Linked DNA regions of Callithrix jacchus. The protein of the gene in region 1 purifies or fractionates together with the protein of each later gene. This does not show direct contact. Links are inferred from orthologs where the notes say so. Each region holds a gene or a part of one and is shown on either strand. Other genes may lie near its edges. The genes, in order: NXF1 and NXT2.

Region 1 (15,857 bases):
GGCTAGTTTCAAACTCCTGACCTTGCGATCCACCCACCTCTGCCTCCCAAAGTGCTGGGATTACAGGCATGAGCCACTGCAGCTGGCTAAATTTTTTATGCTAATTTATGCATAGGCAAATTTTTTATAAACTATCTTTTTTTTTTTTTTTTTTTTTCCCTCAGACGAAGTCTCACTCTTTGGAGTGCAGTGGTGACATCTCAGCTCACAGCAACCTCCACCTCCCAGGTGCAAGTGATTCTCCCACCTCACACTCCTGAGTAGCTGGAACTATAGGGGCATGCCACCACACTCAGCTAATTTTTGTATTTTTAGTAGAGACACAGTTTCACCATGTTGGCCAGGACGGTCTCAATCTCTAGATCTCATGACCATCTCAGCCTCCCAAAGTGTTGGGATTACAGGCGTGAGCCACCATGCCCAGTTGACTACTGGGCTTTTTTAAGCAGCAAAAAGTTTTGACTTTTAAAATTTCAGGAGGCCAGGCAAGGTAGAGTTCATCCCAGCACTTTGGGAGGCCTAGGTGGGAAACATGGTGAAATCCCATCTCTACAAAGAAATACAAAAAAATTAGCTGGGTACCATGGCCTATGCCTGTAGTCCCAGCTACTCAGGTAGCTGAAGTGGGCCAATCACCTGAGCCCTAGCAGTGAGCTGTGATCACATCAACTGTACTCCAGCCTGGGCATCAGAATGAGACCCTGTCTCAAAACAAATCAGCAAATAAAAACTTGGCTGGCACAATGGCTCATGCCTATTAGCCCTGCATTTTGGGAGGCCGAGGCAGGAGGATTACGTGAGCTCAGGACCAGCCTGAGCAACACAGCAAGATGGTCTCTACAAAAAATTTTTAAAAAAGGCCAGGTGTGGTGGCTTACACCTGTAATCCAAGCACTTTGGAGGCCAAGGTGGGCGGATCACCTGAGGTTGGGAGTTCAAGACCAGCCTGACTAACATGGTGAAACCCTGTCTTAAAAAAAATAAAATAGGCCAGGCGTGGCGGCTCACGCCTATAATCCCAGCACTTTGGGAGGCCAAGGCAGTGGATCACGAGGTCAAGAGATCGAGACCATCCTGGTCAACAAAGGGAAACACCGTCTCTACTAAAAATACAAAAATTAACAGGGCATGGTGGCGCGCACCTGTAGTCCCAGCTACTTGGGAGGCTGAGGCAGGAGAATTACTTGAACCCAGGAGGCAGAGGTTGTGGTGAGCCGAGATTGCGCCATTGCACTCCAGCCTGGGTAACAAGAGCAAAACTCCGTCTCAAAAATAAATAAAATAAAATAAAAAAGCTGGGTGTGCTGGCACATGCCTGTAGTTCCAGCTACTCTGGAGGCTAAGGTGAGAGGATAGCTTGTGCCCAAGAGTTAGAGGTTACAGTGCGTTATGATCACCACTACACTCCAGCCTGGGTGACAGAGCAAGACCTTGTCTCTAATTAAAAAAAAAACAAAAACAAAAACAACCCACCTGTCAGGAGCTCTCATTAGTCACGACTACTCCTACTTTGGTTCAGTACATCCCCACCCTACATACATATGCCCAACACTCACTTCTGGGACCACTCGAGGTTCATGCCAGACTGGGTAGAGAATGCCTGCAACATTTCCTGCTGCTCTGGAGAGAGGGTGGGCACTGGGCTGGAGGAAGGCGTGGGTGCGGGCATAGCGAAGGCTCTTTGGATCTCTTCAGAACTGGCATTCCGCACAAATAGCTCGTCGTTTACAATACACAGCCTTGAGGACAAAGAGCACTTAAAAAGCTGGACAGATATATAATGTCATCCCCCAACATCATTCCTACTCTCAGATTCCTTCAGTATTCACAAGGTTCCCCTCCCACTCTGAGCTATTGTTACCTTTAATCATTTATCTCCTCCCATGGAATCCATGTTTGGAAGGATTATCTACCAAACACACTAGAGTTCTCCCAACACATGGACAGTTCTTAGTCCTTTATTTATCTTCACAACAAATTTAGGAAGTGAATATTGTTTTTTTTTGAGATGGAGTTTCGCTCTTGTTACCCAGGCTGGAGTGCAATGGCGCGATCTCGGCTCACCGCAACCTCCGCCTCCTGGGTTCAGGCAATTCTCCTGCCTCAGCCTCCTGAGTAGCTGGGATTACAGGCACGTGCCACCATGCCCAGCTAATTTTTTGTATCTTTAGTAGAGATGGGGTTTCACCAGGTTGAACAGGATGGTCTCGATCTCTTGACCTCGTGATCCACCAGCCTCGGCCTCCCAAAGTGCTGGGATTATAGGCTTGAGCCACTGCGCCCGGCCCGGAAGTGAATATTGTTAATATAAACTTTCAGATGAGGCAGCAGCCTACTTGCTAGAGGTGGAGCCAGGATGAAAACCCAAACAGTACAATTCCAGAGCCGCGCTCCTACCTAGCTCTTAACTACTATGTGAGCTTTCCCCAATTTCCTGTTGCCTTTCTGAAAGCACCCCGAAGACTGACTCTACCCTCCAATTACCACACTGTTGGCCATGGATTAGGACTGGTATCCAATGTGAAAAGCAGAATATTTACCCTGAATTGGTAGCAGGAACAGCAATGAATGTCCGGGTGAAGGCTCGCAAAGAATCCCGAGACTTTCCATCCACTGCAATGAGAACAAGAGCAACGACACCTTAGGATCACTAGTGGTTTACAAACAGCTTCTTGAATCATGGTCTTATTTGATACGAAGAACACTAGCGGGCCAGACAGGGATGATTAAATGTATAAGGGAAGTAGAGGTGGGGTGAAGGGTTGGGCAGAGAGTACAATAATACTAATAACTACTAACCCACTGATAGCATCTGTGTGCCAGGCCCAAGGCCAAGCACTTTGTAAGTTATTTCATTTTACTTCTATAGCACCACTGTGAGATGGCTATTACCCATCTTACAAATAAATAACCTAAGTCTTAGAGGTAATGTTACTTGTCCACGGCCCCACACAACCAAAACCAGGATGGAAACTAAGAACTGCCTGACTCCAAAGTCTTCCTAATCCCCAGGCTTTTCCAATATCCTGTCAGGACAGGCGGAGGGGAGGCCAAGCCAAGATGGCTTGGAGGCAAAATGGGAGAAGGAGTTCAAAAAGAAAATGGGGCCGGCGTGGTGGCTCACGCCTACAATCCCAGCACTTTGGGAGGCTGAGGCGGGTGGATCACGAGGTCAAGAGATCGAGACCATCCTGGTCAATGAGGTGAAACCCCGTCTCTACTAAAAATACAAAAATTAGCTGGGTATGGTGGTGCGTGCCTGTAGTCCCAGCTACTCGGGAGGCTGAGGCAGGAGAATTGCCTGAACCCAGGAGGTGGAGGTTGCAGTGAGCCGAGATCGTGCCATTGCACTCCAGTCTGGGTAACAATAACGAAACTCCGTCTCAAAAAAAAAAAGAAAAAGAAAAAGAAATGGGAGAGAAAGTAGCTGGGAAGCTAAGAGTGCTGAGGTACATTCCAGCTGGGGGTGGGACCATGCTACAAACTCAGGACTTTAAAGATTCTTACCTTCCTTGAAGACCCCATTGACAGAAAAACACAGCAGTGTGCTCTGAAACAGAAGCAGCATCAGGTACAATGTAGACTTCTGAGCGCACCCCAACCATGCCTATTAAATGCCACCCCCATCCCAATTCTAGGCTTCTGTCAGGGCACAAGCAGGAGCTTACTGTCTGGGCGCTTATGTCTACCACGAAGGAATTGACGTCGTGCTGCGTTTTGGGCAATTCGTTGAGGAAGGCGACAACATTGAGACGCGTGTGCTTCAATAGCCGGAACCGCAAGGCTGTGGGTAGAGAAAGCTCAGTGGGGCTGCCACATACTCCTGAGTTTTATGATAGATTCCTTCCCATGCCCTTTTCCCATCCTGTTTTGTTCACATCACACACTTACTAGGGTCTTTAAGCTTCTTCACATTTCTGCTATCTTTGAAATACTCGGCCAAGTTGCTTCTGGGGGAATAAGAGGAAAGGACACGGTGTCAGAGCATTGCTGCAGCAAGTGCTGCCCTGTATCTGCTGGGAAACCCTGTGGTACCAGGCAGATTCTGGGATGTGATACTTACCGGGCAGGGTTTTGAGGAATGAAAGGAATGCTAAGGGAACAACAGGCCCCATCATGGTAGGCATCTAGGAGCCCTTGCCGGTCTCCAGAGTCATAAATAGCATAGTACCTGTGGGAAAAACAAAAAAGAAAGCATAGGCTCTGTGGTCTAGAGCCACAGCAGGACCCAGTACCTCCCAAGAGTGAGCTGTGGCTGAGCACGGTGGCTCATGCCTATAATCCCACCACTTTAGGAGGCCCAGGCGGGTGAATTGCTTGAGCCCAGGAGTCTGAGACCAGCTTGGGCAACATGGTGAAACCCTGTCTCTACTAAAATTCCAAAAAAATGGCTGAACTTGGTGGCTCATGCCTGTAATGCTAGCACTTTGGGAGGCAGAGGCGGGTGGATCACCTGAGATACGGAGTTTGAGACCAAGCTGGCCAATGTGGCAAAACCCCATCTCTACTAAAAATACAAAAAATCAGCCAGGCATGGTGGCGGGCACCTGTAATCCCAGCTACTCAGGAGGCTGAAGCAGAAGAATCACTCTAACCCAGGAGGCAGAGGTTGCAGCAAGCTGAGATCATGCCATTGCACTCCAACCTGGGTGACAGAGTGAGACTCCATCTCAAAAAAAAAAGAAAAAAAAATTAGCTGGGCGTGGTGGCAGCCACCTGTAATCCAGCTATGGAGAGGCTGAGACAGAAGAACCTCTTGAACCTAGAAGGTAGAGGTTGCAGTGAGCCAAGATTGTGCCACTGCACTCCAGCTAAGGCAACAGAATGAGACTCTGTCCAAAAAAAAAAAAAAAAAAAAAAAAAAAAAAAAGTGAGGTGTGCCTGGGTCTGCCCGACTTTCCTCAACCTTGGGCTGTGGGAAAGGGGGTCCTGGGATACTTACTGCTGAAGGAAGTGCAGGACCAGACTCTTCAAGTTTTCTGTTCCAAAATAGCTTCCCTGGAATCAAACAGGTATTAGGACCATGTAAGCAGTATTCCCTTCACACACGAGTTGTTACTCTGTCCGTGCTTCTTACCTTACAGGGCGGTAACGTCGTGGGGGGTTCAATATCAAAGGCAATTGGTGGGGGTAGCTCATGGCCATCCTGTGGAAAGAAGTAAAAGTTGACACTGTAGACTGGGCATAGTGGCTCACAGCTGTGATCTCAGAACTTTGGGAGGCTGAGGCAGGAGGATGGCTTCAGCCCAGAAGTTCAAGACAAGCCTGGGCAACATGGCAAAACCCCATCTCTATCAAAATTACAAAAATCATCTGGGCATGGTGGTGCATGCCTCTATTCCCAGCTACTTGGAAGGCTGAAGTGGGAGGATAACTTGAGCCTGGCAGGTGGAGGTTACAGTAAAAGCTAAGATTGTAGCACTGCACTCTAGCCTGGAAAATAGAGCCAGATCTTATCTCAAAAAACAAAACAAACGGAAAGTTGTCAGTGCAAACATGAGAGAAAAAGACTGGATGCATAAATAGAATGAAGAACTAGGAGAGAAGGGTCAAACGTCAAGTGTAAAAGCATCATGAAAAGTATCCAGGAATCCAGGCCAGGCGTGGTGGCTCACACCTATAATCCCAGCACATTGGGAGGCTGAGGTAAGTGGATCACTTGAGGTCAGGAGTTCAAGACCAGCCTGGCCAACATGGTGAAACACCATGTTGTTTCACCAGCCTGGCCTCAGGGAAAAATGGCCCCCACTCCCTACTAAAAATACAAAGAGGTTGGGGCGCTGTGGCTCACACCTGTAATCCCAGCACTTTGGAAGGCCGAGGTGAGCAGATCACCTGAGGTCGAGAGTTCAAGACCAACCTGACCAACATGGCAAAATCTCATCTCTACTAAAAATACAAAAAATTAGCCAGGCACGTGGCAGGCACTTGTAATCCCAGCTACTCGAGAGGCTAAGGCAGGAGAATCCCTTGAACCGGGAGGTGGAGGTTGCAGTGAGCTGAGATCACGTCACTGCACTGTAGCCTGGGCAACAAGAGTGAGACTCCATCTCAAAAAACCAAACCAAACCAAATAAAATTAGCCAGGCGTCTTGGGGCATGCCTGTAATCCCAGCTACTTAGGAGGCTGAGGCAGAAGACTCGCTTGAACCCAGGAAGCAGAGGTTGCAGTGAGTGGAGATTGCACCACTGCACTCTGGGTAACAGAACAAGACTCTGCTGAAAAAAAAAAAAAAAAAAAAAAAAAAAGGAAAAAAGGGCAGGGTGCAGTGGCTTATACCTGTAATCCTATAATCCCGGCACTTTGGGAGGCTGAGATGGGTAGATCACCTGAAGTCAGGAGTTCAAGGCCAGCCTGGCCAACATGGTGTAACCCCGTCTCTACTAAAAATATGAAAATTAGCCAAGCGTGGTGGTGCCTATAATCTCAGCCATTGGGAGGCTGAGGCAGGAGAATCACTTGAACCTGGGAGGAGGAAGTGACAGTCAGCTGAAATCATGCAGTTGCACTCCAGCCTGAGTGACAGGGCGAGACTCCGTCTCAAAAAATGAAAAAAGAAAAGTATCCAGAAATCTTGTGAGTGAGAAATGCTGTGTGCTTGTTAAAATGAAAAAAAATTATAGACTTACCAGGCGTAATAACTTGGGAAATCGTTCACGAATGGCGCTGTCAAGAATGGGACAGAAGTGAGTGACGATTCAGAGCCACCGTGCCTCCTGGGCTGCTCTAGGAGCAAATATACCAAACCCAAGGGACAGCCCATCCCATCCTGCTCATCCCTCCACTCCTTCCCAGCCTGCGCTCAGGAAAAAATGGCCCCCACTCCCCACCTGACCCGGGGCACCCAGACACGGACTGCCTTGAAGGCTGTCTCTTTTCTCTCTGCCTGACTCTGAGTGCCACAATGAACAGCACTCCAAGCCCAGGCTTTAAGCCCAGGACCTCCTTCCCCTCCCTGCCCCCCTTACCTTCCACCTACTCACCTGTGCAGCCCCGGGAGGAGGGAATGGGGTGGGAGCCCAGGGGCTCCGCTGCCTCACCAGGTATCCATCAGTTCTGCCAGGTCTGGCCTTGGCCAAGACCCAAACACACCACAGGGATGGCACAGGATGTTGGGGCAGGGAGATGAGCAGGTGGGGCTCAGGAATTGAGAAGCAAAGGAATAAGAAAGGAAAGGAAAAGCAGGAAAAAGAGAAAAAGGCAGGATGGGGCAGGGACAGGGGCAAGGGAGAGATGGAGGAGGTCTAAGAGATAGAGAGGAAAAGGCAAGAGAAAGCAAAGAAAAAGGGAAAGAACTACAAGGTAAGAACGCATCTAGAAAAACGAGGGAGAAAGAAAAGGGAGAAAGACAGCCTGACACAGCCCTTTCTTTCAGCAGCCCCATCCCTGTGGTCCAAGTTAGAAATGAGAAACAAATCTTTGCTGTGACGAGTGGGCACTTGCTGTTGGCCAGGTCTCTGTCTGCTACCTGGGTCCCGATCTGAGCTGGGCATGGGAAGCAAAGCAGCCATGGGGGCAGGAGACCTCCCTCAGAAGGTGTAAGGGTTCAGGACCCTGCATGGTTGTGAGGGTGAGGGTCTCTGCCTCACCTCTGTTGCCTTCAAGTTCTCTCCTGATGGCCCCTCTGCGACTGTGCCTGTCTTAGGTTGTTCCTTCCCTGAGGAATCTTACCCGTCTCTGGCTAACCAGCCATCCACTGGGGCCAAACAGGGTGATGTGCAGTGTGTGAGTGAGGGAGAGGCAGCGCCCCCGAGGGGGTCGGTTCTCTGTCTCCTTGGTAGACTATGCCCCCATGGCCTCCACGCCCAGCACCTGCCTTGGGAGTCCCACGCCTGCTGGCGGGGCCCCAGCTCTGGTCACATCTTGGGGAACCCAGGTTTCTTCTCCAGGGAGAGCCCAGGTCATAGCACTGGGCAAGAGACAGACTGCATGGCACCAGCCCCTAGGAAGCCTCAACCTCAGCATGGGCAGGAAAGCCCAGGCAACAGCCTTGGGCAAATGGATCTTGAGAAAAGGGTCCCTCTTGGCACAAGGGCAAGAGGGGCCATCACAGTACACAAGGAGGGAAGGCCCATCTCAGAAGGAAATCTCAGATAGGGAGAGCTTCCTCAGCCCATGGACACCAGGCTCTTGGCACAAGGCAACACCATCTATAGGGTATGTACAAGATACCCTCTGGTCAGAGTAGAAATGGGGAGTTGCCTTTCCTGGAACAACAGGATAGGGGAGATTCTAGAAAAGGCTGTGTTCAGGAAGCAAAGAGAAAGAAGGGCCACAGTCCCAGCAGTCAGGTGAAAAGTAAAGAGAGGAGATCTTAGGACAAAGCTAGAAGGCACAGACAGACCAAAGTGGGGAGCACGTGATCCTCCCAAAGGATAGGTGGCTCCAGCTCAGGGCTGCACATCTCCTGCAGACGGTCACTGGTCAGGATGCATTAGCTCAGCCTCCCAGGGGGTGAAGGTCCCCAGGAGGGGAGACAGAGTCTACAACTGACCTGATGTAGGTGGACTGGTCTCTGAAGGTGTCACACAGGGAGTTTCCGTCAAGCCACAGCTCTTCTAGCTTCAGGCCCTTTATCTTGTCCAACTCCCGCTCAGACTTCAACTGCAAAGGGTGGGGGGAAAAATGGGAGGAGATTGTGGTGAAGAGAGCCAGTTGGATCCCCACACCTCCAATCCCTACCATTAGCTCTGCTCTGAGATCTTGTTTAATCTTTTTAGATTTTCTTTTTTTTTTTTTTTTTTTTTTAAATTTTAGAGACAAGGTCTTGCTTTGTCACCCAGGCTTCAGTGCCATGGCATGATCATAGTTCACTGTAGCCTCAAACTCCTGGACTCAAGAGATCCTACCACCTCAGACTCCTGGGTAGCTAGGACTACAGGCATGTGACATCATGCTGGCCTTTTTCATTAAACATTTTCTGAGACACGTTGCTCAGGCTGGAATGCAATGGCACAATCATAACTCACTGCAGCCTTGAGCTCCTGAGCTCAAGCAATCCTCCCACCTCAGCCCCCTGAAGTAGCTAGGCAAACTCCTATCCTTAAGTGATGCTCCTGCCTTGGCCTCCCAAAGTGTTGGGATTACAGTCGCAAGCTACCACATCTGGCCTGAGTTCTTTCTCTTGGCTCTTGCAGTCACCAGACAAACCCTGCACACCCTCTACCCACCCCCCTCAAAAACACAGCCAAGGTATCAACTCTTACTTCATTTCCAGAAAGGTTTAGGATCTTCAGGTTGGGTGCCTTCTGCACAATGCTAGACATGTCATCCAGCCTGTATAGCCTGTTGTTGCTCAAGTTCAAGGACAATAGCTGTGAGGAGAAAGGAGTTTAAAGGAAGCACCACCAGCAAGTGGATCAGAGACAAATTTGCCCTCTAGCCACATCCTATCTAACCCACCCTGCTTCCTCATGCCTAATATTGGGTCAAAGGCGTTACCTCAGGGATGTTCTCTTCAATGATTCTCAGGGTAGCTGCCATACAGCTTCTTCGATTCAGGACAACATCAATGTTCTGGGCCACCAAATCTTCAGGAAGAAGGGAAGGAAAGGAAAACTGAGAGGTCTTGCCCAGGCCAGCGTTAGCACTAAAATATCCTCAAATTTTCCCTCCCTGACAGATCCCCACCTGTCACCACCTATCTGAGAACTACTGTTATCAACCATACCTGGGTCTGAACGAAGGCCCTTGAGGTCAAGGGCTTGTTGGGAGCCATCATATCGTTTGCTCATGATCAGCTACAAAGGAAGACAGGTTTAGTGGTTACTGGGATTGTGTGTGTGGGGTGGGGGTGTGAGAAGTGGTAAGACTGGGTTGGAAACTTATCTAATTTGAGCCTGCCTCACCTTTAGCTGTTCTACTTGCTCTGGCTTCAGTTCATTCAGTATAGTCGGGGGCGGAGCAGAGGAGTTGATGATGATAGATATCTGGAGGGAAGACACAAAGGGCACAGAAAACTCGAGGGGAGCCTAAGCTGCAAGACCAAGACCCAGTCCCTTCTCTGATCACCAACCTCCACCTCCAGCCAAGCTAGGCCCTTTAAACACACCCTTCGATTCTCCCGATCCAAAATCTTATAGTTGATAGCTTTCAATGCAGAGGCAGTGCTGGCATCCTCAACAAAGAACTGGGCCCGTGTATTCTCATAGTGAAACTGCAAGAGGAAACAGGAGCGTTACACTGGGAGTCCAGAGCCCCCTGCCCATCCCTGCTGCCCAGCCAGCCAGCCACTCAGGCCTTGTCTTACCTCAATAGGGGTGAAGGGCACACTGCACTTGCTCTGAATCATGCTCAGGAGCCATGCTTTGTCATACTTTTTGCCATAAGGAATCTAGAAATGGGAGAGAAAAGAAGGGAATTGTAAGTAAGGCCGAATAGCAGACCCAATACAATGCCTTTTATACCTTCTACTAAACTTTAAAAGACATTCTAAAGAAAGGACCAGTATTAGGTTTTCTACTCGAGACACACGTAGGATCTTCAGGTTGGGTGCCTTCTGCACAATACTAGACATGTCATACAGCCTATATAGCCTATTGTTGCTCAAGTTAAAGGACAATAGCTGTGAACTCCTTTCTGTCCACTTACACTTACTATTTTTTCTCTTTTTAGTAACAGGGCCTCACTCTGTCACTCAGGCTGGAGTGCAGTGGTGCAATCATAGCTCACTGCAGCCTTCATCTCCTGGGCTCAAGCAATCCTCCTGTCAGCCTTCTGGAGTAGCTAGGGCTATAGGCATGTACCACCATGCTTGGCTTCCCTTTTCTGTAGAGAAGGGGTCTTGCTGTATTTCCAGACTGGTCTTAAACTCCCAGCCCCAAGTGATCCCCTGCCTCAGCCTCTCAAAGTGCAGGGAGCATAGGCATGAGCCCCTGCACCCAGCCCACTTAAACTTATCCCTCAAAAAAAAAATCAATTTTTTGATTCTAAAAGTTCCAAGATATTATTTACACCTGGCCTGCCCCTCAGAGAACTCCAGGGACTCCCAGCCCCACACTCAGCTTGAGCCAAATGAAGACATCCAGAGAAATTACTCCCTCCCCCAACCAGTTTTCATATTTCTCATTTACCCCTTCTCTGAACCTGCTCTAAGGTGTCTGAAGATACTGATTCCTAGGAGAAAAGATAGATGCTTGACTGTGAAGTAAAGAGCTGAGAAAAATAATTTTTGGGCCGGATGTGGTGGCTCATGCTTGTAATCCCAGCAGTTTGGGAGGCTGAGGCAGGCAGATCACAAGGTCAGGAGTTTGAGACCAGCCTGGCTAATATGGCAAAACCTTGTCTCTACTAAAAATACAAAAATTAGCCAGGCGTAGTAGTGGACACCTGTAGTTCCAGCTATTCAGAAGGCTGAAACAGAAGAATCACTTGATGGTCAGGCACGGTGGTTCACGCCTATAATCCCAGCACTCTGGGAAGCCGAGGCGGGTGGATCACAAGGTCAGGAGATCGAGATCGTCCTGGTCAATGAGTTGAAATCCCGTCTCTAGTAAAAATACAAAAATTAGCTGGGCATGGTGGTGAGCGCCTGTCGTCTCAGCTACTCGGGAGGCTGAGGCAGGAGAATTGCTTGAACCCAGGAGACGGAGGTTGCAGTGAGCTGAGATCGTGCCATTGCACTCCAGTCTGGGTAACAACAGTGAAACTCCATCCAAAAAAAAAGAAGAATCACTTGAACCAGGCAGGCGGAAGCTACAGTGAGCTGAGATCACACCACTGCACTTCAGCCTGGGTGATAGAGCAGACTCCATCTCAAAAAAAAATAGTAATTTTTGTGGAATAAAACTAAACATCTCCAGGCTGACTGCAGCCTCCCATCGCTACCGCACTATCTACTTTCTCCAAGAACTCACTGTAATTTTGAACCAGTTCTTTGAGGTCCCATCCTGGCTGGTGCCAGCTCCTCCTCTCTCTGAAGGAGCTCTGTCTCTCCGCACGGTAACATGAATGCGATCTCGATCATGCCACGTATCGCCCCGACGGTTAGGCCGGGTGGTATAGGGGTTGCTGTGGGCAAGCAGAGAATAAAATGACCATAAATGCTAGGAAAGTCTTCTCAGAGACCTACCTGCACTGTTAGTGGGACTACAACTAAGATTGTTCAATCATTAAGCCACTCCTGGCATTTCTCACTCTTTCAGGTTGGAAAGGAAATAACATGGACAGTAAAAGGGCCATATAATCTCATGGGCCACTAAATTCAAACCAGACCAACTGGTCACTTACTATCGTACTCGGGGACCATCTTGGGCATCACTCATTGCCACATCTCCATCATCTTCCTCAAGGCGGGAAGACCGAATACTAGAACCACCTCTTCCAGACCTACGGTTTCCTTCACCATATTTCCACCGGAAGGGACCCCGGCCTTTCTTCCTTCTTTGAGGGAAATTAACACGTTCATCATCGTGCTCTGAAGTTAGAAACAGGAACACAAATTAGGAGTAAGTAACTGGTCCTGCTTGGCGTAGCAATCAGTTTCTAGTACTCTGCACTATGGGAAGAAATACATACTAACTACAGAGGCCATGTCCATGCAAACTCCACTGGCAGTCCAGCGGTAAGAACCCTCTCTGTGGGAGGGAAGCATCAGGGAAGTTATTGGAAAATTGTGTAGGGCTTTTGAAAAATGAAGCAGAGGCCGGGCACGGTGGCTTATGCGTATAATCCCAGTACTTTGGGAGGCCGAGGCGGGTGGATCACGAGGTCAAGAGATCGAGACTATCCTGGTCAACAAGGTGAAACCCCGTCTCTACTAAAAACACAAAAATTAGCTGGGCATGGTGGTACGCGCCTGTAGTCCCAGCCACATGGGAGGCTGAGGCAGGAGAATTGCTTGAACCCAGGAGGCGGAGGTTGCGGTGAGCCGAGATCATGCCATTGCACTCCAGTCTGGGTAACAAGAGCGAAACTCCATCTCAAAAAAAAAAAAAAACAAGAAAAAAGAAAAATGAAGCAGAAACTGGAATTAGAGAGAAGCAGAAGGTAGAAATGTGACAACCAAAAGTGTAACTGAACACAAATCAGACCTCTGATAGCCACGTGAAATCTGCCACTCAGTACTTTTTCTCCACAGTACAGATGCCAGTTACAAATATGACCAATTTAAGGATCCTCTAAAAAATTCTTCTTGTTCTCAAATTGCCACTTGGAAGTTTTGTGAGGAGCTCTTCATTTCCTTGGCCAGAAATGGCCTTTAACTCAGAAGACAGACAACTTCTAGACTCAGGATCTACTGGCAGTGCCAGGCTCAGGTGCTTAACCAGGGATCCTGGAATGCTCTCCAGGAATATGACCTTCTGACACATGCTGTGTAGGACTGGCATCTTTAAAAGGTCTCTAACTCCCAAAAGAAGTCTGCCTAATACAGATACTGTAAACAATGAATCTCAACAAATGACCCCAAGAAAAAAAGTACACAGAAGGCGCACCTAACATTCACTGAGAACTTTCTCCAGTGCCGGCCACTATGCTTCAGGCACTTGATAGAAATGATCTCATTCCCCGCACCCCTGCCCGCCTCCTCCACTCTTAAAAAACAGATACTGTTGTTATTCCGCATTAAGGAGGTGGAAAACGAGTTTTAAATTCACGGTTTCAACCTCCGCCATGCACTCCTAACTACTACAAAGGACTAACATCCAGTGTAGTGTTCAGACTAGAACATCCAGTTGAGGTGTCTCAAATATTAAGCCAAACCCAGGCCCGAGGTTTCAAGACCGACTGGACGCAGTAAAAAATAGGGCACCAGGGCAGCCCACGAGCAGGGCACTAACTCACATTAAAGGAAGAGTCAGGCCGCCAAACCGAACTGACAGGCATCAACCACCCACAAAGTTCAAAGGAATCCGGTCACCCCACCCCCAAGCCACCCGCTCCGAGCCGCAGGTCCTCCAACACCAGGATTCCAACAGGAATCCAGGAGTTCAACAACTCGGTGTCCACCTCAAGTGCTCCCGGTTCCTCCGCGCGCCGCTCCCCACGGACGCCGAGCCCCTGCGGCCTCACGTCCCGGGGGCTGAGGCCTAGGCCGGCGCCTCCCACCCGGGGGTCCCAGATAGCCGGCTCTCGACTCAAGGACCAGCACTGACCGCTGTACGACTTCCCCTCGTCCGCCATACCACAGCGAAGAGCAAGGGCGGGCTCAGGCGCGGGCCGCTACGCCACCAAACGTCCGAACCCCCAAGCGCTCAGGACCAAAGTGTCCCTACGACGGGCGCCACCGCATTTATTCGGAATAGCACGTCGCGCGCCGCTGACGTTCTAGGCTGTGGGCGGTGCCACTGCTGTAGAAAGCGCGGCCACTGCGCGTGCGCACACTGAAGCCCGTCGTGTGAGGGGCGGGGCCCGACCCTCCACGCCCCGCCCAAGGCCTGAGCTTGCGGAATTCCGGCTGGCTGCCAGCAGCTCCTGGCACCTTTTCATTTGTCCGCTGACGCTGCCCTGGGCACCTCCAGAGTTAGTGCTGGAACAGAGTGCTGCAACTGCAGCCCAGAGTTCAGAGCGGGGAAGGGGACCGCACGAAGGGCTTCCGAGGTGGAAGTGATGCGCCTCCAGGTGGAAGTGATGGCTTAGACCCCCACCGGAATCCAGCCAGTTTCAGCTCGGCTCCTTGTCTATGCCTCGCTTTCTTTGCCTATAAGATGGATTAATAATCACGAAGTTGAGAATTAGAATGTAAGCTTCATGGGAGCAGGAACCTTGACTAATTAATAGCTTTCTTCCTCGAGGGCTTGATTCGGTACCATGCCTGGCACATAGTAGAAATTCAACATGTATTTGTGAAATAAATGAATTTCTGTTCTTTGCATTCCCCACCCGCCCCGCCGCGAGTTGCTGAGTCAAATGAGACGGCATCTATCAGGGCTTTGCCGAGCATTGACATTATAGACCTTCCATCAATGACGTTCCCTACTAGAAACCCATCGTGTCAATAAGGCCGACAGTGAAGCTCACCAGCAGTGGCAGACAACTTGCTGGAGATGCCAAGGAGAACATTTTAAAGTATCAGGGCCTTGGGATCTCCTAGACCCCCAGAAGCACCAGCCCCTGATTGTTGTCTCTATAGCTTGAACTTCCTTTGGAATATGTGAGGCAGGGGCACTCGAGTAGCCTCAGAATGTGGTTAAGTCTTGGTCAGGAAGAACAAAGCACACCTGGATGGTGGGTATTCTGGGCAGGTGTCTTCTCCAGTCTCTGTGATTGGCTTTGATTTGGTGAGGGGCTTGGAGGGAACCAAAAGCCTCAGCTGGAGTTGGGAACAAATCCTCCACCTTCCACTCCTGGCAGCAGGCAGAGCTTCTACCTTGCTTAGCTTAAGGAAGATATCAAACAGGTCCAAACACTGCTTGAGATGGTCCTGGAAGTTGCCACCAATCAAGGACCCCCTCTGGGATCCTGCTCCCCTGTGTGAAAGGAAGTTTCTATGCTAATGAAGTGTTGCAACACTTGGTTCTGCCCTGCCTGGAGGCAGCTGTGTGTCAGAGCCCAATATAGCCTGTCAGCAGTAATACCCTGCAGAGCCATTAGCCCAACCCTTTCAGTTCTGGTACTGGGCAGTGGGCTCATTCCACTCACTGCCTAGGCCCTTCGACGCTCCCACCCAGAAATGATGACATAGCTAGTAAGGATGACAGTCTTGCTGTAATTGGGAGAAAACGGGCTGCAGCACATTTGGCAGATTGAGAGTCACCAGCAGCCAATGTTGGAGTTTGTGCAGGCAGCTGAAGGGCTCAGGGCTCCCTGCCTCACATGGTGAAAGAGGAAGAAGAGGTCAAGTCCTAACCCAGATGGGAAAATTGGTCCCTGGGACATTTTACTTCCTCTCTTCACTCACAGGAAAAGTGGGGAACGG
Region 2 (15,560 bases), on another chromosome or scaffold:
AATACCAAAGTCTTATTATTGGTTTTGCTTCTGCAAATAATTACTTGAAGAAAAATAAGTTTCCAGCAGGGAGTTGAAAGAATTGTTCTCCTTTGAAGATAAAACTTATGAATATCCCATAGAGGAGGCAATTGGAAGGTAATGAGGTGAAAAAGGATTATATTATCACTTCTATGCCACAGAAAGAAAAAGTTTCCTTTTTAGGAAATTAATTCACACCTTCACTTCCTCAAGAATGGATTCAGAATGGGGATAGAGACAAGCTAAAAGGAAGAGGAAATTTTATTTGGTGACTCAATTTTAACCACATACTTTGTGTAAGATTTTTTTTCTCAGTGCCAGTGATTTGAGTAAGTGTTTAATATATTAAATATATACAGTTATCCCCAGGAACTTAAAATATAGTAGGAATTTAAGTATACAAATAAAAAACAGACTATAATGTCTTTTTAGAATAAATTTTATTGTATATATTTAAGGTATACAGCATGATATTGTGAGATACATATATAATAAGTGGTTAGCATAGTGAATCAAATGATCACATCTATCATTTCACATAGTTACCCATTTTTCCCATGTGGCAAGAGCAACTATAAACTACCTGTTTAGAAAAATTTCTGAACATAGTACACTATTATTAATTACAGCCCTCATGTTATACATTGGATATTCAGGTTTCTTCATCCTACATATGTGCTACTTTGTGTACTTTGACCTACATTTACTCATTTCTTCTCCCTACCTGCTCCAACACCCCTGTAACCGCTATTTTATTCTCTGTCTCCATATATATGACTTTTTTGTCAGATGTCACACATGTGAGATTATGCAATATTTTTCTTTGTGTCTAGCTTACTTAGTATAATGTCCTCTGGTTCATCCATGTTGTGGCAAATACAGGATTTCTTTCTTCTTCCACAATGGCTCAACGATATTCCATTTTGTGTGTGTATACATACAGATATATATATATATATATATCTCACGGATTCCTTATCCATTCATCCATTGATAGACACTTGGGTTGTTTTTATATCTTGGATATTGTGAATAATGCTGCTATAAACCCAAAGGAAATGAAATCATCACTTCAAAAAGATATCTTCACTCTCATGTTCATTGCCGCATTATTTATAATAATTTATTTCAAAAGATGTGCAAAGTACTATCTAGGTAGCACTACTGGAGTGGCAGAGTTCAGACCTCTACAAACCCACCACTCCATAAAAACAATGGAAACAATGACTTAAATGGTCAAAATAATCTTTTGCAAGTTAAGCAAATACCTGTGAGGATCTGAGGAGTATTTATTCAGAAACTCCTAATTATTTGTAAGGACACCAGGATTTGTAGTGTTATAACTTGACACACTCAGCTACCCACAGACCTCTCTTAACAACTCCACAATAGCAAAAATGTAACCCACAAAATGAGACAAAATATTTGCACATCATATATCTGATCAGGGACTGGTAACTATCATGCGTGTGTGTGTGTGTATATATGTGTGTGAGTGTGTGTGTGTACATATATGTAATGCAAAGCTCAATAATAAAAAGCCAAATAACCCAATTTTAAAAGTAAACCAAAAACTCTAAATAGACATTTATTCCAAGAAGATATACAAATGGACAATAATTTCACGAAAAGATGCTTAATATCATTGAGATCTGCAAATTTGCATTTGCAGAAATGCAAATCAAAACCACAATGCCCACTAAGATGATGTTAATAAAAAATATAGACAGTAACAAGTGTTGTTGAAGATGTCAAGAAATTGGAATCCTCATGCATTGCTGATGGAAATGCAAAATGTTGCAGCTACTGTGAAAAGCATGGTGACAGTCTCTTAAAATATTAAACATGTTACAATATGAACTAGCAATACCACCCCTGGGTATCTAGGATATGTCAGCACAAAAACTTGTACAGGAATGTTCCCAGAAACATTGTTTATAATAGCCAAAAAGTAGAAACTATCCAAATGTCCATCAATGGATGGATGAATAAATATAAATAAAATGTGTTATACTCATACCATGGAATGTTATTCTGCAATTTAAAAGACTGAAGTGTTGATACATGCTACGACATAGATGAATCTTGAAAATATTCTGCTAAGTGAAAGAAGCCAGACTACAAAGGACCGTATAATGTAGGATTACATTTATATGAAAAGTCCCAAATAGGCAAATACATAGTAGATTGGTAGTTGCTAGGAGCTAGGGAGAAAAAGGAAGTGGGAATTGACTGCGAAAGGGAAAGGGGTTTCTTTTTGAGGTGGTAAAAATGTTCTAAAGTTGTGCAATGATGCTTGAATAACTGTAAATACACGAAAAACCACTGAATTGGTTTTTAAATGAGTGAAATGTATGATATGTTAATTACATCTCAATGAAACGTTTTTAATAAGCACTATTTGATGTGAACAGTATGGTTGCCAATTCGAGACCTCAGAGGAAGTATTTGACTGACAGATCACTTCCTGGTTGTTCTAGATTACTTCTGCTAAAGTATTAAGCAAGGCAAAGATTCAGATGGGGAAGTTGGTAACTCCCAACAACTTTAATTCCATTAGGTTTAGACTTGATCAGAAGATCTGACTGCATAGCACAGCCACATTTAATCCTACTTGACATAATCTATTGTTCCTACAGTCTGCTATCCCAGGGTCACCAGCCAACCCCTAAACTGTACAGATAGATGCCTCTCAATACCTCAAACGTTATCTAATCTGTCCCCACCTCATACTCTCAAATAAGTGGCTGCCTAATTTCCCCTGCCATGGGTAGGAAAATACTGCTCCTCAAGCAAAAACTACATGACAGGCACCGACACATTTAATTCCTAAATCAATGCTGTGAAATATATATTAATATCATTTCCGCTTTACAGATTAGGAGTCTGAGTCATGGAATGGTAATTTTGCCAAGGTCACAAAGCTGGTCAGTAGCATGATGAGGATTTCAGTCCAGACTGGTGCCAATAACAATGTGCTTAATCAAAATGCGATGCTGTGTTCCAAGAAAAGCCTTTTCACAGCCTTCCTAGTCATTCTTCCCAAGTTTTATACATTTGCAGTTATCTAGTGAGGCGCAACTCTGTATCTTATTCACTTTGTTTCCATTTGTATCCCTCCGCCACCACCCAACATAGTTTTCATATCTTTAAATTCACTGCTCTGACAACCAGAGCCCATCATTGTTTATCCAGTCTCCTACCTTTGTAGCACAATCTAGCAATTCCCAGTTTGTAGCACAAAATTCCATGCAAAAATTCCATGCAAAACTGAGCTCTCCCCCACCTCTAACTCAGCTGTCCCTTTCCAGTACTTCAACACTCCCATATTTTCCAGCACTCTTTCCCACACCAACAGCCACTCGCATCGCCATAAAAGAGATCAGACCAAGGTAGGTATTTAAAGATTATGAGAATTTGGAGGAAAATAGATAACAGAGTTATCAAAGTTTGTGTATAGAAGAGAGAAAGGGGGAAAAGGGGAGAAGTGGGGGTAGAGAGGGAGGGAGGGAGCCAAGAACAGAGGGAAAAAAAAGAAAAGAGGAGGGAAGAGAGGGGAGGGGGAGAGGGAGAGGGAGAAGGGTTGCTATAGGGAATGGTCAGAACTAAGCAAGTTACTTGGAATTTCTTTGTAACACAATAATGTTATGTTTATTGTCTAGCACTCTCATTACACTGCGAGCTTCATAAGGATACAGATCATGTCTATTTTATTCACCACTCTCTATATATACTTCCGAGAGAGAATGGGAGGGTACAAAAATCTGTCCCGGCACATAGTAAATACTTGATAAATATTTATTGAATCAATTATGATGAGGAGGAGAGGGGAAACAAAAAAATAAAGATTCCGAGAATTCAAGATAAGTGACTGGGAGAACACAAAAGTTTGGAAATGCAAAGGAAACAATGAGTTAAAATCTTGGACATACAAGTTTGAGAAGCCTACAGTGCACTCTGGTGTTCATCTTTAGCAAAATTCATATATGTAATTCGAGCTCAGATACGGCGTGGGGGCTTGGTATCTTGTTGAGATTCATTAGCATACGGGTAGCCATTTAGATCACCCGGAAGAAAAAACTTAAAAAAAAAAAAAAGGGGATGCTCCGGAAGTGACGGAGGTCAGAGGTTAGCAGGACGGAAGTAGACCAGCTGAGAAGAAGCGGCAGTTAGAGCTACGTTAAAGAGAAAAGTGCCAGGTAGAGTAAGATTAAAAGTATGAGAAAATTCAGAAGCAACTGGTCTCAGGGAGACAGAGAAAGATACCAAGAAAGAAGTGACTCTTATCGGGAGAGGGCAGGCACCAGCTACTTAAGGTAAAACTACAACATCTAATTAATTTGCCATTTAAATCCGAAGTCATTGGTGGATTTGAGATGAGCGTTTTTTAAGGAGCAAAGTCAGATTGCCATGACAGTTGTGTTGCTGGAGTTTGAATCTCTACTAGTTCGTGACACCATAGGGCAGCTTCACTCGGTCTTAGCTGTAAAACGGAGATGATAAAATAATAGCAATTTTACCTCAGCATTATTATAAGTAATAAGTGATATGTGTAAAACTGATTAGAAAAACACCTTACATATAGTCAGCACTCCACATTTTAATTATTGTTAGAATACTTTGCAGAATAAATAGCCCTTCAAAGGTGGTGAATGGCACTGTAAACTTAATTTATGTTGGTGTCTGCAAGACATTTTAAAATGCCGGAATGGAGAAACTAGATAAGCATTTCTTGTTGAATATGGCTAGCTTAGAAATCAAATAGTAATTTTAGCCATACTGCCAAAATGTAGTAATTCTACATTTTGTGAGGATGGTCCTTTCAGAATGTTCCAGAATGTTAAAATTGTTCCCTAGTCATGCACGCCTTTTCCCCAAGCTCTGCCCCTTTATCTATAGGCTATGGAATAGTAGGACTCCTCACATTTCGAATTGGTCTTCAAGGGCTTTGGCTCCGCCTCCTGCGGCAAAAAAGTCCTTGTAATTGAACCCTTTCATTTTTGTTTGTCCCCAAGTATGTCATTAGAAAACTAGGGGACTTTCCTTTTGAGTACAATGTTTACAAAAACAAAGCGGTTTTTAAATTTTAAACTAAGTAAATAAGTATCAAACAAGTAGATAAATGAGGCGGATGGGAGAGATCTGCGGGAACTGAAGGGAGGTGGAACTTAAGGTTGGAACATCGGTGTGCTTTTAACGACGGACCGAGCTACTTCCGGGAGAGAATGGGAGGGTGGAAAATTCCGTCCGTTTCTTGGGTTTCGCGCTCTTTCTAAGTATTGCTCATTCCGCAGCCGTGAGAGGTGGACACATCAGGAGGTGGTGACGTCGCCACTTCCGAAACCCGTTGCTACAAGCTCCCTGATGGCCTCGTCTGTGGTGAGTGCCCGGGCCGGGGCAGGGCGACTGGGCGCCGGGCTCCAGTGGCTGAGGAGAGGGCCTCCGGGGCGGTCTGGCGGTTGCTCACGTGGGTAGGTGACGAATCACGGAACAGCTCTCTGCACCGCGGGGCGGGGCCCACGCTTTGCTACCCGCCCCGCCGGCCCGCCCCCGCCTGGTTTGCAATCGCTTTCTGGTCGGGGAAAGGGACCTGAGCTAGGAAATACCGAGACGCGGCATGTTGGGGTTTGTTGTTTGTGGTTTGCAGTCTCTTTCTCTTGATTATCCCCCTCTCTAAAAATCACTTTAAGTCACCTGACAAAGAAATTGGCGATTCATTGTTCTTAATTTAGCAATAGACTGGGCCCCGTAAATTAATGAGGAAGAAGGTATTCTTTAATTCTCCGGCACGAACGCCAACAGCGTTGCTTTCTTTGGTTTCACAGTTCTTATGCAAACATCAGTGAACGTTTACCTAAAGTGCGAAAGTTTCCTAAGTGGAGCTGCCAGGTTTTCAAGTAGTTGAACTAATACTTTCGTGTGTGTGTGTGTGTGTGTGTTTTCCATTCTTGAAGTCTGGCCCTAACATCTCACTTGAAAAGAGAAAACGCTTTCCCAGCTTATTCAGTGGCAGTTTTTGCCATTCTCTCTCCTTCTCTAAAGTTCAGGTGGTGTCATTTTCATTGCCATGAATGTTTTGTAAAATATTGAGTCTAAAGTACTTAGTTGCCAGGAAAACATTATAAATATTTATGTGGAGAATGAAAAACAGTCCGATTCATTGAGAATATTATGTCCTAAAGACATGAACTTAAAATTACTGAAAAATTTTTTTAATTGAAAACTTTAGAGCCCAGACTTTAAAATGTCTGAATTTATATGAAAGAATGTGGACTGTATATAGAGCTACATAGTGGTTGAAATAAATCATCAGCTTCTATCAGTGGTTTTGTGTTTGTGAGGGGCTGAAAAGGTTGGTAATATATACTTTTGGAATTTTTCTTGTAGGATTTTAAAACTTACGTAGATCAGGCATGTAGAGCTGCTGAGGAATTTGTCAATATTTACTATGAGACAATGGATAAAAGAAGACGGGTGAGTGTTATAGACTCTACTAATCTTTATAGATTCTACTATTCTTTATTAAATACCAGGTCTTGTCTGGAGCCAGCCTTTCATCTGACTTGCATAAATGGTAACTGTGAACTTATTCTTTAAAAGCAAATTGCTCAGCAAAGGATTGTTCTGTCATTAGTGGGAATATGGGCTCTGGAATCATATCCCAGGTTTACCTTTACCTAGTTCCTTGACCTGGAGCAAGTTGCTATTTTCCCTTAATCTCATTTTATTTTCAGGTTGGTAAGTATGAACTAATTAAAATACTGCCTTAACATTAGGCCCAGCATATATTCACTTAAATATGTTACATTTTCTTAGTTCCATCAGTTAACAAATACGGTTAAGGTAGTGCTAATGAAGGGGTTGGTCATTACAGGGAATGTTTCCTCATTTGCCCCTTTTATTTCATATATTTATAGATAATTTCTCATTGTGGCTCAAAACTATAGGTTACACCCACAAAGAGTATCCACGTAGCTTTGATAATATTAAGTCCTCAACAGACCAGGATTTCATCAGGTTGTCATCAACTTATCCCTGCACCATATCTTTTAAGTAATTATTTCAGTATGTGGTCAAATGAATCTTGCCTAGGTCCCTTACCAGCATAGAACTGTGCTTTGGAGAGCTACTTCTATCCTGCAGCTGCAAAAGTTAATACCCTATCTCTGAAAACCTATTTTTTAATCAAACACATTTATTAAACATGGGATTTTTTAAATTATACTTTAAGTTCTGGGATACATGTACAGAATGTGTAGGTTTGTTTTATAGGTATACACGTGCCATGGCAGTTTGCTGCATCCATCAACCTGTCATCTGCATTAGGTATTTCTCCTAATGCTATCTCTCCCCAGCCCCTCAGCCCCTGACAGGCCCTGGTGTATGATGTTTCCCTCCCTGTGTTCATGTGTTCTCATTGTTCAACTCCCACATATGAGTGAAAACATGTGGTGTTTGGTTTTCTGTTCTTGTGTTAGTTTGCTGAGAATGATGGTTTCCAGCTCCATCCATGTAACTCCAAAGACATGGAGTTACTCATGCTTTTTTAATGGCTGCATAGTATTCCATGATGTATATGTGCCACATTTTCTTTATCCAGTCTATCATTGATGCACATTTGGGTTGGTTCCAACTCTTTGCTATTGTGAATAGTGCTGCAGTAAGCATACATGTGCATGTGTCTTTATAGTAGAATGATTTATAATCCTTTGTTTATATACCCAGTGATGGCATTGCTGGGTCAAATGATATTTCTGGCTCTACATCCTTGAGGAATGGCCACACTGCCTTCCACAATGGTTGAACTAATTTACACTCCCACCAACAGTGTAAAAGCATTCCTATTTCTCCACATCCTCTCCAGCATCAGTTGTTTCCTGACTTTTTAACGATTGCCATTCTAACTGGTGTAAGTGAGATAGTGTCTTAATGTGGTTTTGAATTGCATTTCTGTAATGACCAGTGATGAGCTTTTTTTCATATGTTTGTTGGCCACATAAATGTCTTCTTTTGAGAAGTGTCTGTTCATATCCTTCATCTACTTTTCTATGGGATTGTTTGTTTTTTTCTTGTAAATTTGTTTCAGTTCTTTTTAGATTATGGATATTAGCCCTTGGTCAGATGGATAGATTGCAAAAAGGTTCTCCCATTCTGTAGGTTGCCTGTTCACTCTGATGATAGTTTCTTTTGCTGTGCAAAAGCTCTTAAGTTTAGATCACATTTGTCAGTTTTGGCTTTTGTTGCCATTGCTTTTAGTGTTTTAGTCATGAAGTCTTTGCCCATGCCTATGTCCTCAATGGTATTGCCTAGGTTTTCTTCTAGGGTTTTTATGGTTTTAGGTCTTATGTTTAAATCTTTAATTCATCTTGAGTTAATGTTTGTATAAGGTGTAAGGAAGGGGTCCAGTTTCAGTTTTCTGCATATGACTAGCTCTTTTTTCCAACACCATTTAGTGAATAGGAAATCCTTTCCCCATTGCTTATTTTTGTCATGTTAAAGCCTATATTTTTAGGGCAGAAGATAAGAGACATTTCTTCTACAGATATTTGATGTCAGGGGAAAGGGATATAACAATGGATGTTTATTGTACCTTGTCTTGAATGTGTGTTGTACCTTACTGCTTTCAAAAAATAAAGTAGAAAAAAGACAACATATTTCATTGCCAGCATCAAGATAGGTGTTGGCCTTTGTTTTTTCTTTTTTGAGATAGAGTCTCACTCTGTTGCCAAGGCTGGAGTGCAGTGGCACGATCTTGGCTCACTGCAACCTCTGCCATCCAGTCAAGCGTTTCTTCTGTTTCAGCCTCCCGAGTAGCTGGGATTACAGGCACCTGCCACTGCGCCCAGCTAATATTTGTAGTTTTAGTAGAGATGGAGTTTCACCATCTTGGCCAGGCTGGTCTTGAACTCCTGACCTTGTGATCCACCCACCTCAGCCTCCCAAAGTGCTGGGAATACAGGCGTGAGTGACCACACGTGGCCAGCCTTTAAACCCAAGTTACATTATAGAATTAAGCTAACAGTGTGTCATGTGACCTCAGAGTTTTAACTGTTGAATTTCTGCCTCATTTGGGCCTTAACTTCTTTGAGTTATCAAAGTCTCTCCTTTAGCAAATACTCATGATTCTTTTGAACTAAGTACACTAATAGAGTAGTGCTATAGCTGAGCATGGTATGACATGCCTGTAATTACAGCTACTTGGGAGGCTGAGACAAGAGAATTTCTTGAGCCCAAGAGTTTTCAGACCAGCCTGAGCAACAGAGCGAGACCCTGTCTCAATTAAAAAAAAAAAAAAAAAAAAATATTTAAGAAAACATAGATACCTTCTCTATAAAATGCAAGTAGTGAACTAATTCTAACACATGCAAACATTAAATGTTTCATATATATATGGCCACTAGCATTAAAGGGTACAGTTAAGACTTGATTGAAAACTTTGTTAATTCTCATAATTACAAAAGGAAGACAAACTAAAACTGGCTTGGGGCTGCATGTGCTTGGAATTTGTGATCATTTCATTCATTTTAATACAGAAAGAACTTAATTGGGTGCAAGGTTTTATTTGTCTAAAGTGAAATATGAAAAAATATATTTTATTGCTTAGTTTATAAAGAATAGGGTAATATTTATTTAAGGCCAAGATTATACATCAGACATTTTGTTCGTGTTAATTTCCAGTGGAGATGGAGCAAGGGGAGTGGAGATGAAAGTAGAACTACAGAAATGTTTATATACCATCTGTAATGTTTGAATCCATTTCTATAAAATGTTTACCTAGAACCAGAATTATTTCCCTTTTTAAAATTTATTATTCTTTTTAGGCACTAACCAGGCTGTATCTGGACAAGGCCACCTTAATATGGAATGGAAATGTTGTTTCAGGGCTGGATGCCCTGAATAATTTTTTTGACGCATTGCCTTCTAGTGAGTTCCAGGTCAATATGTTAGATTGCCAACCAGTTCATGGTAAGATCATGATCTTTCAAGGTACTTCCTTTGTTTTTCTTTAGTAAGCACTGAGCTTTTACACAAAAAGCAGTGAGCAACTTTTAGTGGTAGAACTATTTACTTACTTGAGCAATTTAAATATTATGAAAAAAACTGTCCAGTCAAACTTTTGGTCTTCCTTCAGATTCTTTCCAATAGTAGGTTTTGATGGATTGTGTGATTATGGCTTATTAAAAGTTGTATGAAAAGTTGAGATTAAATGTGATTTTTGTAAATGGAGAAGAAAGATTATCTAATTTCTTGAAATAGTTGCTTGCTGGGCCCTGAAATGCCTCCATATGGTAAAATTATACCATATCTCTGATTAATGTGTTTCAGTATATTACAATCTATTAATATTTCACAGAAATTTACTCTGTTATGTGAAAGGATAACTTTTGACAAGACAGTTTGATTCCAGATAGATTGATACAGTTTAATATAACCTCTAGGTGGGTTTCTAAGTGCCTTAAATTGTAGTTTCGGGTGATTTTTTTTCCTTTATAATTCCTGAAAACAATAGTTTAAGAAGCAAAACATGAATAAGCTCTGTTAGAAACCTGAAATATTAATTATGAAATATTAATATATATATGAAGCAAATGGTCCTATGCTAGATATAAGCTCTTTATTTTGAAACTTTAGAGTAGCCCAAATTTTTCTGGACTGAAAATGTTAATATCTTTGAATGAATATTTAGTTTTCTGGATTTGGGTATGCATGCTTAAGATTATGTTCAAGGGACAGAAAGTTGATGGAAAAAAGTTTAAGCGTTAGACCATAAACCATGTATTTTAAGCCTGAAAATCTGCTTATTTGAAGATAGAAACTGTCCTGTTTTCTTTTTTTTTATGTGGATAAAGAGCAAGCAACTCAGTCCCAGACTACAGTTCTTGTAGTGACCAGTGGAACTGTGAAGTTTGATGGAAACAAACAACATTACTTCAACCAGAACTTCCTGCTCACTGCACAGTCCACTCCCAACAATACTGTGTGGAAAATTGCAAGTGATTGCTTCCGTTTTCAAGATTGGGCTAGTACTTAAAGGGGCAAACCTCCATTCTCATTTAGTCCATTAGTTCCAGCAGCAGAAATTTATGTCAACTATTTTGGTTGTAGAAGCACTATAATATGTGCTGAAACCAAATTTCTTTAATATTTTTTATTCCTATCAGCACCTTTTCTACCAGATGCCTGTTTGGAATGTTGCCCTTTAAGAGCTTTAAAGCTACTTTTTTACATGCCTTATATACATTCCACTAATGACATTCTTACAGTAATATTAAACACATGATTTTGGTACTAACATACTCACTGTGAACCCAGCCTATTGCAAAAATAAAATCCTTTTATAATACTATCTATGGAATGTCAGCACAATATCTCTCTGGGAAGAAGTGGAGTTTTCTGGTTATTAGGTTAATTTTGTAGTAAAACACATTGCCTGTTTTCTGCTAACACTGGAAATGCCATTTTAATATATGGCTTTTTCAGATCAGTTCAGTGAAAATAGTACAGATTTAGGTTTACATAGCTACTCTGACATATTAGAATTGCATATAGAGATGTTCAGTAGTCTTTTTTCATGTTAAGCAATATTTTTTATTTTGGTGTGTTTTCTTATCAAGTAAATCAGCTAGAGAAGTGCAGAATATTCTCAATTGATAATCTGAGTATTGGGTGCATTTGGTGGATTAAAAGCAAAGTTTCCTGAAAAGATTTTTCTTGGCAGCTCGAGGTCTATACATTTAGGTAATGAGTGGTAGTAGAACTAATAGCTTTAACAGGGTTATAGGTAGGGAATGAGAAATAGAAATCCAAGGCTGAAGCCAAAAGTAAGGAGGGTAGCCAAATGGTAAACTGTTGATACTTGTTTTCTACCTCCTAAAAATGTAGCTTATGTTTAGGATTTAAATTACTGAGTTAATAAGTATCCTTGCCAAATGGTCATGAATGTCACTTTTCTTCTAAGACTAATATTTTTAGATCTTTTCACTTCATCTCGTACTTATCACCAATGTATAGCTCCATTTATTCAAGAACTTATGGGAGTAAAATAATAGCAATAAGCCTAACCCTTTAAAAGGGTCTAACATGAGGGAGTTGGAGCCAAATCCATTGCTATCTCTTGGTGACACCCTTAATTTTTAAGTCTTCCATGTGAACTTTAGGCTCTAAAGCTTCTTATGTATCACACATCCCCCAAATAAATGATTTTTTCCCAGTGTTTTGTACTGTCAACTGCATTATCTTTAGTTATTAAAAGATAGAATTATTTAATTTTGTGGTTTGTTCTTCCATGTGACATTGGGTAAATAGATCTGTTTTAAAATATGTTCCTGCTATGTGGCTAAATCATTGTCTTTTTAGAAAGAAAATAGAGAATAGCAGATCTTCATGATAATCCTCAAAAGAACAAAATGCTTAACTTTTTTTCAATTTCTAAAGGTAAAAAACCTAGATTCAGTTTTTGCTTAAACATTAAGTGCTTTTCCATTTTTTAATATTGGTAAGCTAGATATGCCAGCTTTGTTTCTACATTGCAACCAAAAGCTGTTTCTTTTCATTTAATTGTAAAACGAGTAATTCATTTACTCTTGCCCAAAACTGTACACTGTACTTCTATTATACTAATAACATAGAATTATATAGGATAATTGTATGGAACTCAAATTTACACCATGCTTTCTTGTAGTGATTGAAACTTATACATTTTATTCTACCCATAGTGAGCTTATTCTTATTTTAGATCGATTTTCTAAAACCTCAGCTTTAGCAGCAACAGTCAGAATGCCCAAATGCTGCCCTTTCCCTTACCGAGAATGATGTCAAGTAAAAGCTGCACATAACTAGCAATAACTAAATTGAACGGTGTGTATTGTTCATGATTGTCGTGTGTTTTAAGACTTGTATATAAATTGCTTTTTCCAAACTCTGTATAACTTCTAAATGGCTGGAACTACTCTTATAGGGACTAGACTGTATTTTTGACATGTTCTTATTTTTGTAACTTGAAAAAATAAAATTTTGCCATATGACAGATGTCATCAAGCTTGTTTTAAGGTCTTTCGATTTTTGTTCTTAGATTTCAGAATGGGTACTTTTTTCTTTGCAATATGAGGTTTTCCAAATTTAGGGAAAAAAAATTACAGTAATGTGTTAACAATGGTTGACAACTTGGATCTTTTTTTTTTCCTTCTGTAACCTACCATATCTTTCTCCTTTTCCTGCCAATTATTCACATTCCTGAGATCATCACTTGTTTGAGATACCTGTGAGGTTTTTGGTGAGAAGTTGGAAATCTTAGCCTTGAGAAACTAGCCAAAATATAGTTGATTTCCAGAAAGAATGGTTCCATTAACTTTAATGCTATTAAAAATATGTCAACAGACTTCTTTGGAGGGGAATGAGAAAAAGCAATACCCAGCCAGGCGTGGTGGCTCACGCCTGTAATTGTAACACTTTGTGAGGCCAAGGTGGGAGGATACTTGAGTCAAGGCATTCAGATACTTGAGACCAGCCTGGGCAAAGTAGCAAGACCACTGTCTCTATAAAAATCAGCTAGCAGCGGGGGCTGGGGATGGTGGCTCACATCTGTAATCCCAGCACTTTGGGAGGCCAAGGTGGGCAGATCCACGAGGTCAGGAGATCGAGACCATCCTGGCTAACACCATGAAACCCCGCCTCTACTAAAAATACAAAAAATTAGCTGGGCGTGGTGGCACGCGCCTATGGTCCCAGCCTCGGGAGGCTGAAGCAGGAGAATCACTTGGACCCGGGAGGTGGAGGTTGTGGTGAGTAGAGATTGCACCACAGCACTCCAGCCTGGGTGACAGAGTGAGACTTTGTCTCAAAAAAAAAAGTTAGTGGGGCACAATGGCATGTGACTGTAGGCCCAGCTACTAAAGAAGCTAAGTTGGGAAGATCACTTGAACCCAGGAGCTCAAGGCTGCAGTGAGCCATGAATGCACAACTATACTCCAGCCTGGGCAATGGAGCAAGACTTCATCTCTAATTTTAAAAGAAAATAATAGCTCTTAAAATTAAAAATCATATTTTATCTCTTCAAAGATGCATGTATTTTTCACATTTTAACATCCCTGGAATTAGTACAGATATTAAATTGATGTCATATCATAGTTTAGTCTCATTTCCATTTTCTCAGTGGTAAAGTAATGGTGAGTCTTATAAACAGTGGCATCTTAGGAGTTTTGCCTAGATAAAAATGGCTAAGAATCTACTTAGGTCTAAATTTGTAGGTATTAGTGGAAGTGAAAGGCTGTAAGCTTACAAAACTAGTAATTCATGACTCAAATTCTGTCACAATGCCTTTTGTATTTCATGAGTAGCCTATATGGCTAGAAGAGCCACAGACTCAGTGAATTTGAGTCATGGTAAATTTTCGTGGTTTTTGGAAATTATCTAGTAATGTATAGTGTATCTAAAAAGATAGTCCCAAAGAGGTTCAAGCATAAGCACAGTGTTTCGAAAGGGAACAAGAAGTCAAAAGCCAAGAAGGTACAGTGAATTCTTTTCTGGAATTTTGATGAATTCATTATTTGCCTGAAATTGGGCAGGAAATTTGGTGGAAGGGGATCCCATTTACTGATTTTTGTTATAAGCATGTGTTGTCCTTCCTACCCTGTGTGTGCTTTAACATAACCGCACATATTTAGGGGAAAATGGTAAGGCATTTTTGTCTTTTTGATTTTACAGTTGACTCTATACAATAAAAGTATTTCATCAAAACACTTGTTACCAAACTATTAATAAATGCTCACCCTTTGCCAAATGCAGCTGTCTTTACAAAAGAGTACTCAGTGACTCTCAGTCAGCTATGTAGGTCAGTCTAGCTTTCTAGAGAAGCAGTAAAAGGTAGAAAAATGTATTGTTGGAATAATGTGTCAGATTGAGGGGTCTTAGGACACAGCATAAACCTGGGCTTGAGGTATATGCATTCTTTAGATAGGTAGCTTTCAAAATTTTTACCGTGACCCATAGTAAGAAGTATATTTTATATCACAACCCCAGTATAGAGATGTACAAGTAAACCTATATATGCAGTGTGTGTGTGTGTGTGTGTGTGTGTGTGTGTGATGTCCAAAATAAAACTCATGTTTACCACTTGCAGTGTGGTCCTGGCATTTTCTATTTCATTCTATTAATTTTTTTGAAAATGCTGATCATAAATTGCTCAACTGATTTTTTTACAACTTTCTAAGGGGTTGTACCATCAGTTTAAAAAGCACAAAAATAGAGCAAGCATATTTTCACTATCACTTTTGAGTAGGGATATAGGGATGGCTTCCAAAAAGTAGTACCATGTATCAGTGATGTCACCCTGACTTGGAAGTGACCAAAAACTTTCTCCTCTCAGGCTTTTCATGTTTGTTGAGGGCCATGAAGGGCAGCAGTCTTTGCCTCCCATTCCTTGGTTTGCATGAGAAGTTTAGAACTAAGAAAGCAAATCCTTGTGTTAGTCTTTAGGCAGAGTTTGGGAAGAGAATGAGTGGCAATGAAAAGGAGTTGAATTGGAAGAAATGGTCCTATTT

What was found.
Region 2: the proteins of NXF1 (region 1) and NXT2 purify together in Homo sapiens (co-immunoprecipitation; 5 studies listed by BioGRID and IntAct, counting the BioPlex papers as one, with this or other methods). This does not show direct contact. The link is inferred for Callithrix jacchus from reciprocal best matches to the Homo sapiens genes NXF1 and NXT2.

The regions. Positions count from the first base shown.
Region 1 is NC_133511.1:120,074,174-120,090,030, forward strand, and holds the start of NXF1 (nuclear RNA export factor 1), read right to left. Parts: upstream 14,207-15,857; 5' UTR 14,123-14,206; coding exon of another isoform or gene 14,095-14,122; intron 12,896-14,094; 5' UTR 12,880-12,895; coding exon 12,798-12,879; intron 12,417-12,797; coding exon 12,230-12,416; intron 12,011-12,229; coding exon 11,857-12,010; intron 10,335-11,856; coding exon 10,251-10,334; intron 10,158-10,250; coding exon 10,053-10,157; intron 9,931-10,052; coding exon 9,850-9,930; intron 9,742-9,849; coding exon 9,672-9,741; intron 9,532-9,671; coding exon 9,443-9,531; intron 9,316-9,442; coding exon 9,208-9,315; intron 8,606-9,207; coding exon 8,496-8,605; intron 6,668-8,495; coding exon 6,631-6,667; intron 5,147-6,630; coding exon 5,078-5,146; intron 4,999-5,077; coding exon 4,943-4,998; intron 4,172-4,942; coding exon 4,064-4,171; intron 3,951-4,063; coding exon 3,892-3,950; intron 3,785-3,891; coding exon 3,669-3,784; intron 3,551-3,668; coding exon 3,508-3,550; intron 2,614-3,507; coding exon 2,541-2,613; and 3 more.
Region 2 is NC_133524.1:105,976,638-105,992,197, forward strand, and holds NXT2 (NTF2-related export protein 2), read left to right. Parts: upstream 1-4,152; 5' UTR 4,153-4,239; coding exon 4,240-4,337; intron 4,338-5,315; coding exon 5,316-5,400; intron 5,401-5,577; exon of another isoform or gene 5,578-5,646; intron 5,647-6,408; coding exon 6,409-6,495; intron 6,496-9,842; coding exon 9,843-9,987; intron 9,988-10,871; coding exon 10,872-11,053; 3' UTR 11,054-13,059; downstream 13,060-15,560. UniProt on the Homo sapiens protein: Regulator of protein export for NES-containing proteins. Also plays a role in mRNA nuclear export.